Linked DNA regions of Drosophila melanogaster. The protein of the gene in region 1 interacts with the protein of each later gene in a pairwise test. Each region holds a gene or a part of one and is shown in the gene's direction. Other genes may lie near its edges.

Evidence for each region. Proteins that work in one complex are often made in the same cells at the same time.
Region 2: the proteins of CG14635 (region 1) and Pex13 interact in a two-hybrid assay, tested with the Drosophila melanogaster proteins (one large-scale study listed by BioGRID).

Annotation. Positions count from the first base shown.
Region 1 is NC_004354.4:842,497-846,247, forward strand, and holds CG14635 (uncharacterized protein), read left to right. Parts: upstream 1-2,326; 5' UTR 2,327-2,340; coding exon 2,341-2,700; 3' UTR 2,701-2,801; downstream 2,802-3,751. Other genes in the region: CG43867 (uncharacterized protein), read right to left, coding at 616-678.
Region 2 is NT_033778.4:13,227,240-13,232,448, reverse strand, and holds Pex13 (peroxin 13), read left to right. Parts: upstream 1-2,214; 5' UTR 2,215-2,490; coding exon 2,491-3,161; intron 3,162-3,216; coding exon 3,217-3,446; intron 3,447-3,582; coding exon 3,583-4,004; 3' UTR 4,005-4,173; downstream 4,174-5,209. Other genes in the region: Qsox1 (quiescin sulfhydryl oxidase 1), read left to right, coding at 1-384; fsd (fates-shifted), read right to left, coding at 800-1,671, 1,733-1,799.

The DNA of each region.
Region 1 (3,751 bases):
GTATCCGGGGAGCACTGGGTGACAAGGGAATTCGATGTAGGCTTGTGTACCGAGCACACGCTGTGGAGCCGGATCCCTTTACCCCTCCCTTAATAGAAGTAGAGGCACTCAACAAAATACAAGGTGGTAATAAGGACAAAGCCTCTGTGAACACTTGGAACAACCTCATCTGTATAGATATATTTAAAAGAAATCACTGGTAGTCGTATCTTAAGATCTTTCTTTTCAATGAATCTTATAAAGATAGATTTCCGATTTTAGAATTTTGGAGTGGATGCACATACAGTGCTATGTAAGTTTAAAATTTGAATTAATTTCGCGAAGTGTGTGTCTGCCGCTTGAGTTGGTTACAAATTTTAGGTTGGCGGGCCAGTTTTGTTGTTAGTCACAGCTGTGAGTGGCCCCTGCTCGACGAACACCCCCCCTTAGCTACAGTTTCTCCATCCCTGTATAGAACATCATTGTCATGAAAATCTGGGGACCCTCCACCTTTAAGCTGTCCTCTAATGTGGGGGCTCTGTGCAGGATAGACTGGATCCCCTAACCATCGTTTTAATTTTGCCACCCAAGCGATAAGGATTAGAAGCGGGGGATGGGAGTCATTTAATGGCTTACCTTATCTTCGGCTTCCTCGGCGCGTTCTTCCGCTTCAATGACTCGCTGTTCGAGCTCCGTTAGCTGCAAGTAGAAAGAAAGAGACTTGGTTAAAACACGCATATATCCTTAATAACAGGATCTAAACATGACTAAGCATTAACAATTGTGGGATAATATTGATGTCTTATTCTGCAGCTTTAGTTTGTTATATATAATTACATTTTTATATTTGTAATTTATACATCGTTTCGTCAGATTTTCAGGAGTTCTTACCAGGTGGGTGCCCCTGCCCCTGCCTTTATATATATCTAAATTTTTCTTCCGACAACTATTAAAATCTAACTAATATTGTAAAAGGTTTGAAAAAATATACTTAATTAAATATAAATACTTTTGTAGATCTGTATGTAAAATATTACGTGGCGCCATCTATATCTGAAGGCGTGTTAATTCTGAAAATTGCCCAAGTAAAAGGTATCTGATAGTCAGGGCATTTGACCACAACGTTTCTTCATGGTTTTATTTCATAAGCCACAGAATACTTAATTAACTTTATTAGTTGGGAATTGGTTATACTTCCAAAAAATTATTCTTAAGCCTCTTAGTTTTCAATGGATCTGTAAAAAAATTTACAGTGTAATTTCAAATTCGATTCTACAACCCGATGTAAACATTTATCTGATACACCCTCTAACAAATTATTCAACTTAGTGCAGACACAAACCCTGATAAGAAGAAGTTCCCAGTATTTTCCGGTGTGGTGAATTCCGTTTGAGCTCTTAAAAAATGGTTATTTTGCGGTCCTTATGCTTTTGGGGTTTTTCAGCATGGGAGGTTTTTCATTGGGAATCATCTACCCAGCCACCCAAAGGATGGTCTATCCATCAATGAATCAATCATGGGAAATGACACACAATTTGCAGCTAATAGTAATAATGCTCTCTAGCTAATACAATTCATGTCGCTGGGATCTGCTTCTTTGCACCTGGTATTACGATAATTTTGGAAAACGGGGCTAATTTCGCCCTTGGTCGCTTGCTTCGCGCGTTCTGAACTCAATGGATTGCCATTTAAGAAAGGTGAAAAGCCGGCCGCGGAAATAGCCCTCGAGGAATTCCCGTCCAATTAATCACCAAAGTGGCCTACGGAACCCAAGAGTCCAAAGGGAGGAAGGGCGTAGAGGAAGATGGTTAAACGTCGCTAAGGGGTCCACTTGAAGCGCGCAAGAGATCGACTGCCGTCTATTTTGAATGTCTTAAGTGCATTAATTTCCGCTTTTTATGCCATTCAAGTGGCCACTCAGTTAAGGGGGCGGACGGGGGTGTGGAGCCCATTGATTGATGGACGTCAAATTGCTGTGCGAAATATGAAGAAGCCTCCTCTACCGATGATGAATGGCGGAGCGGAAGTGGCAGGAAACGTCAGCTTGACTTGATGGTAAGCTTTCATACATCTCTTCAGTCTGAGTTAACCTTTGCTAAGCTGTTTGAGGAGTATACTCGTACTCCTCTACTCAAAGGAGAATCTAACTGCATATCCAATCAAATGTGAAGTACAAGTACCGTCTAAAATTTCCAACATTGTTAGGAAGTGTTTTTATTTGTTCGCTTGGTCGCTTGGTAATGACTAAGTCTACTTAGTGTACTAATTGGCTGAGCCATTCCCTTTGCCAAAAACAGCTGCATAGCTGCACGATTATAAATAGGGTGGAACCACCGACAAACTCGCCCAGAAGCAACAAATATGTGCTCTAGTTTAAGCGACTTGTTTGCCTGTATCAGGGCCCAGGGAAATTCCGACACGGATTCCACCAGCACCACCCATCGGCGGAATATCGCTGACCTGGACGATGAGGCGCCCGATCTGCAGCTCCAACAGGAGCAGACCCGCAAGTGGAACGATCTTTCTATGCCACAGCGACACGATTCGTTTCCAGTTCCTCCTCCTTCAGCTGGATCTCCATCAACGGGCTACCTTCGTCCCTCATTGCGGTCAGCACGGGTCTCCTACGAAGCCTTGGAGCGCTACGATCGAATTTTTGGCAGATCTTTCCAAGACGCCGGGTCATCTGGTTCAGTTCGAAATATTCCCGACCAGTTCTAGGCGGAAATTGTTTGGGATTTCGGCATTGACATTAAACATGTGATCCCGCATATTCCGCTAAAAGTCGAACACAATAAATACATTTTACACATTTTCCTGACTTGACTATATGGACAATTTACTTGCATGCGATGGCTGGCTGGTGTTCGGCGCTGCGACGAAACTTGGCCAAACCATTGGATTAAACATAAAGCTGAAAAGGCAGAAAGTTCGGTTCGACTTGCGTGCGTGAAAGATTGCGAAGGTTTTACCGGATTTGGCCGTCCTCATCCGTACACCTGTTTAATCAGGGGCGTTCTGGCCTGCCAATTGGCGACTTAATTGGAAGGAAATGAAGCGGCGGCCTAAAGCAGAAAACATTTGGCATTAATTGCTGGTGGTGTGCCAAGGGGGGTTGGGGAGGGGGTCCACTTTCCTTCAGACACTTCAGACTTAAACACACAAGTTTTACAAATGTGGCACGCAGTCGCAACAAGAACGGAAACGGAAAATGTTATTTCGCAGCCACGAATGCAATTCCAGCAAACAAATGGCTCACAATGGGTGAAGTAAACCCCCGAAGCCACTACTGCCAAAGGAGGTGACTTTGCCCATTAGTCGGTTTAGGTGTCGTTTGCCGCTCTGCTGAAAGTTTCCAGCGAATGTCGCACTAAAAGTTGTCTTTCTCGCGATTGCGATACAGATGTGAATATATAGGAGGTCTTAAAGGGTGGGTGGACAATGCTGCAAGGAGCATGGAAGCAGATCTTGATGGGCTGCAGTAGCTGTGTCTTATCCGACTCGGAATTGCTTTGGAAGAAACGAGTTCACACTGACTGTATGCTACGACCGGAAGAAGAGCCCAATTGATAGGTCAACAATGAAACAGTGCAACTGCAAACTTGCTTTAGAAACGTATTACTCTGTGGTCTGCGCGTCGTATACGTAATGCGACCTACCGCCCCACAAAACGAAATAAAACATTTTAACAGTTTACAAACAATATTTTCATATTTATACTCATTTCCATCAGTACTCGTAGAGTAAATAAGTCAATAACAAACTTTAATAC
Region 2 (5,209 bases), on another chromosome or scaffold:
GATGCCACCGAGGATCCAGAGTTCCCCAAGAAGCAATTCCCAGCGCCGGAAAGCTGCAACGAATGCTACCGCACGCCCGTCTCCAAGTCGGAGAACTTGGAGATCGAATGGAACAAGGACGCCGTGCTGGGCTTCCTCAAGAACATACACAATCCGCAGTTCGTTAGCCGGTACGGTGTGCAGCGGGAGGAGCTGCTGCATCCCACGGCGGACAAAATGCGGCAGAAGCGACAGATCTCAAGTGTCTTCACCGACATGGATATGCGGATGGGCATGCTGCTGTACGCCTTCTGCATTGTGATGATGGTGTTGGCATTTAAATTGTTCGCCTTCAAGGGATACCGCAAGAAGCCCTATGGCCACGATCTCCTGGGCAAGGTGTAGGTTAATCCGCAGGAAAGCTTTCACATATTCTAAACAACAAAGAAAAGACACCGAACACCGAGAAACGGAATTTAACACGCCACCTCATTGCATGATTTGTATTCGTGGCACCTAGAGTTATGATTAAGTTAAAAGTGTGTATATATATATATATATTGTATGAACGAACAGTCCTCTTCCAGTTGTAGTCCCTAACCTAATCGCTTTTTACCACGACGATGCACCTGATTGCTTTATTCTTAGGCATGCAAATGTGATTTTTCCCTCCAGAAGTGACAGTTTGAATAAAAACGATCAATGCTAGACGAATGTTCACAATGTTGTACACTTGTTATGGGCGGTAGCACTTGTGATAAGGTGCGAACACAGAAATAATGCAGATAAGAAAACTGACAATAGTTGCGTTGCGTGAGTTTTATTTAACGAATCTCTGGAAGTCCGGATGCCACCAGGGCAATACTTTGTACTTTTCGATGCGATCGTGCTTAACGGTTACCGACACATTTCGGCAGCCATCCTCGGCGAAGTCCAGCTCTAGGTTCTTGGCCCGCATATCCGTGCAGAGGAGTTCCCGGGTGGCTCGCAGACGGTAACGTTGCTGCTGAGGGCCATAGGCTAGATGGTTGGAAGTTGGCACGAAGTGGCGGCAGATAACAACAAGCAGAACCACACCCTCGTGGGGATTACAAAAAGTTGGAGCTAGCTTTGTCGCATCATCATCCGCCAGGGATTCCCAGTCATTTACGACTTCGCCGGTGTGCGTCTCCGTTTCGTCCTGCTCATGGGACTGTCGGTTCCAAAACTTGTAGCACATGATCCATAGACACTGGTAATGCGTCTGAAAACAGGAAACAAAGATGCGCTGCAACATCCAGTCCAGGTTATAGCCTAGCTCCAGGCGAACCTTCAGCGGTCGGTGGCAGTGAAAGAGCGCCGCGATGACAAGGGATTTAAGCGCCCGGGTCTTACAATTGCGTATCGACTCCAGCTGCAGCTCGGCGGGCAGATTCAGATTCCAACCAGAGGTGGCTCCGGTGCAGTGACGCCGGTAAAGATTGCGCCAAAAGGCGCGAGAAGCCACCAGTCTGGAGGTTTGTTTACATATTAGAGCGAAGGTCTGTACGTCCTCCGGATCAATGTGCATGGATATGTGGAACCAAATGTCATACCGCATGCTAATCACATTGTTGTTGTTGCCCTCCGCCATGGGCAAAGTGGGTGCAGTGGCTCGGAATGTGGACTTTTGCTTCACCGCGACGCAGACATCCGATTGCCGGGCATATATATCTGAGGGTGAGGTAAATTTGCACTGCAAATTCGGAGCACCCAAGTGAGCGGGTCAACTTACCACATTTCCCTTTACTACGGAATAGTTTGTTTTTAATAAACTCATCACAATCGGCATCAAAACTCATTGTGTTCGGCTCTCGCTGGTTCAACAGCTGTTGTTTGCTTGCGAGTTGGTCAGGTGGTGACAGAGTTGTTATCCGACGCGAATGGATTAAAATAACAATTATTAGTCTATTTTCTATGTTTTATTCTTTATTGTTATATATTTGTAAACTTCAAATAGTATGCAGAATACGAACGTCAAGAGACAGTTTGCTTAAAAAAGAAAACATAAATTTTGATTGAATTTAATGTTACTTTGTTACTATGGCGCAAGTATAATTATCAAAACAATTTGTGTTATAAAAACAACTGCATAAAGCAAAACTTTTGAAGGAGCTTAAGTAGTTTACAAGCTTTAGCTATTTACAGTTGATCTAGCCAGAGATATAAAGCCCAGATCTGGTAACTCTGTTCAAGTGCCATCACCGGTTGGAAATCTCGCTAAATCTAGCTAGAAATAGATAAAACGGTACAACTGCTAAAATTGATTAATTGTTAAAACAAAAATTTCGTCAAAGTTCGTTGATAAGACTCTCCTGGAGTTCCGAGACCATAACAACGAGCAATTCCGCACGAAGCGGTCACTTACCGTCCGTCCAAATCAGTGCGAAAAAGCGACTATCGAGCCGATCGTACAAAAGCAACTACCGTGCCGTGGGGTAAAGTTCACAGCACTTTTCCTTTTGTCCGAAGTCGAAGTCGGATTTTGTCACCATGGTCGACAACAATAACCTACGCAGTGCGGTGATCAGCGATGCCCCGCTACTGCCGCCCTCGAGCAGCATCGGAGTGGGCGTTTCAAGCGGCGGAGGATATCCGCCGGAAGCGGTGCTGCGTACTCCGTATGGCAATGTTAGGGCTCTGCCCGGACCGGCGCAGCCCCCTCCTCTGCCGCAATCCCCATTCCAGCAGACACAACAGTACGGTGGTTTCGGCAGCGGGTACGGCGGAAACAACTACGGACTCGGGGGTTATGGTGGTTTCAACAGTGGCGCCTTTGGATATGGTGGACTGGGTGGATTTGGAAGTGGACTTGGAAGTGGATTTGGAAGTGGATACGGGTATGGAGGTGGCTATGGCGGAGGCTATGGTGGAGGCTTCGGCGGTGGGTACAACAGATTTGGAGCAATGGGTGAAAACGATGCGGAGCAGCGGTTCATTTATATGGCAGAGTCCAGCTCGCGCCCGGCCTTTCAGAGCATCGAATCTCTGGTGTCGGCCATCGGCAACATCGCCTCTATGCTGGACTCCACATTCTTCGCGCTGACCAGCTCGTTTCGGGCCATTCTCGGCGTGGCCACGAACTTTGTACGGCTGCGAAGTGTGTTTGCCCAGTTTTGGACCACGTTTGCCATATTCCGCGGTCTAAACTGGATGTACAGAAAGTGAGTGCGGTGCAAAAGTGTGGAAACCGTTATAACTATATATATTTCGTTAAAGGATTCTCTATTGGCTGCGCCTATCGAACCTGGACCCTTCATCGGCAGCCTTTAAGAAGGCCTTTGCCGAGGCACTGAACGAAAACAACGGCCAGGCGAGAGGAGCACCTAATGTGCCGCGAAAGGGCAACTCACCCTGGCCGGTGCTGGCCTTTATCAGCTTCATCTTTACTGCTCCCTACTTGATCATGAAGCTGCTGGGAACCGTGACGAACACCGCCCAGGAGGAAGGTAAGACATGCCTGCACATTGCACAGCCCAGTTTATCTAATCGGGAGCACTTTGCTCCGTTCATGTGCTATAATCTGGCCGATAAGGCCTGTTCAGATAAGACTGCGAATAACGCTTGTGCTCTCATCCCAACCAGCCCGTAATCCGGCCAAGTGGACTGCGCCGATTCAGACTCAGGCCGTTTACGAATTCGTGGCTCGCAGCCCGAGCGAGCTTTCGCTGCGCGCCGGCCAAATGCTACATGTGGCTCCCCGCGACATCCAGCAGACGCTCAATCTGCTGAACACCGGCTGGGCTCTAGCCACCACCAACGGACAGACCTCCGGCATCATTCCAATTAGTTATGTGAAATCGCCACAACAAATGCGCCAAGAGATGCAGGATCAAACCAAGCCCGCTCAGCCACAACCCGAACTAATGAATTTGTCCGCGGGAGCCTTTGCGTCTCCTCCGTTGGAGCAGCAAATGAACTACGACTTTAACCTGGCTGCCCAGCAGCAGGCGCCTTTGGGACCGCCCTCAACGACGTCAGCTGTGCTGGGCGAGGGATTCGCCTGAGCCGACCAAATCCTCGGAGAATTAGCTTAAGTTTAAGTTACGTTCCGTTCAGCTTCTGTATATGTACGTCCACGTCCCTGTATTTTAGGTTAGCTTCCGCCTTTTGTATATTTCCATTTAGTTGTAAATGTTTATTAGCCAGCGATCCCAATGAAAGTAAACATAAACCATATGCGATGTCATGGATTATTGGACTTATTGCTTGGGTTGGGTGCAAGCAGAAGGGAGGAAAAGATTAAATTCTCTGTTTATCATATTTTACAATATGCAAATTACTTCTTTATTAACTTGTCACTCGGTTCGATTTCGTCTCACTTGTTTGCAATTTCCTTTCCATCCATGCAATTATTTCGTTTCATTACACAACTACATGCTCGACACTTAATTGTTAACGCCTTATACTTGACTACTAATTTGTATTTGCATGCTGTTGTATTCACTTGAAGAGGGTTCAATAATATAAATACAAATTCTGAAAATGTATATCGTGTTTTAATTGTTATTACTAATTAGGTAGGTTGATTATTTCGCAACTATCTGCACTCCCTTGTCAACTTAAAATTTGGGTTTTGAGAATCTAAAAGAATCGCTTTGTCAAAGGGTGTTAGCAAATTAAACATATTTCATATGTTCGCTCTTGTCTGCAGTTCAAACTGCTCGTGGCATTCTAAAAATAATTGCATTTCACTGCGGTTGTGTACAGTTTTGGTATATTATATTATTAAGAGACAATTACCCATAACATTATCGCTTTTGCTTAAGCCTACCCAAACATGAAAAGGCCATTGGGGGGAAAAGGGAGACTGATAACAACTAATTAGAGAGTGAACATTAGTCTGGGCATGTGGTTTCGCGGTATTGCCTTATGTGAATTGTGGTTTGAACTAAAAACGCGTTCTCCTTAACTAGACAAATTATTTTAAAAACGTTTCAGCTTAAACATAAATCTTCAATGATACAATTACAAACTGTGTATGCAAACTACACTTACATACATGAACTACCGAATCTTTCTCGTCGCTGCGAGATTGTATATATATAATTTAAGAGTCTCATTGAGAAGTAAACAAAACCAATTGTGTGGGTGGGTCGGATTGGGTGTGGAGTGGATTGGAGTGGAGTGCGGCTCCTGACTAACCAGGGGGCCGTGGCAAACCTAACAAAGCGTTGATAAACGTAAAACTAAACGTGTCCTCCGCATCAGC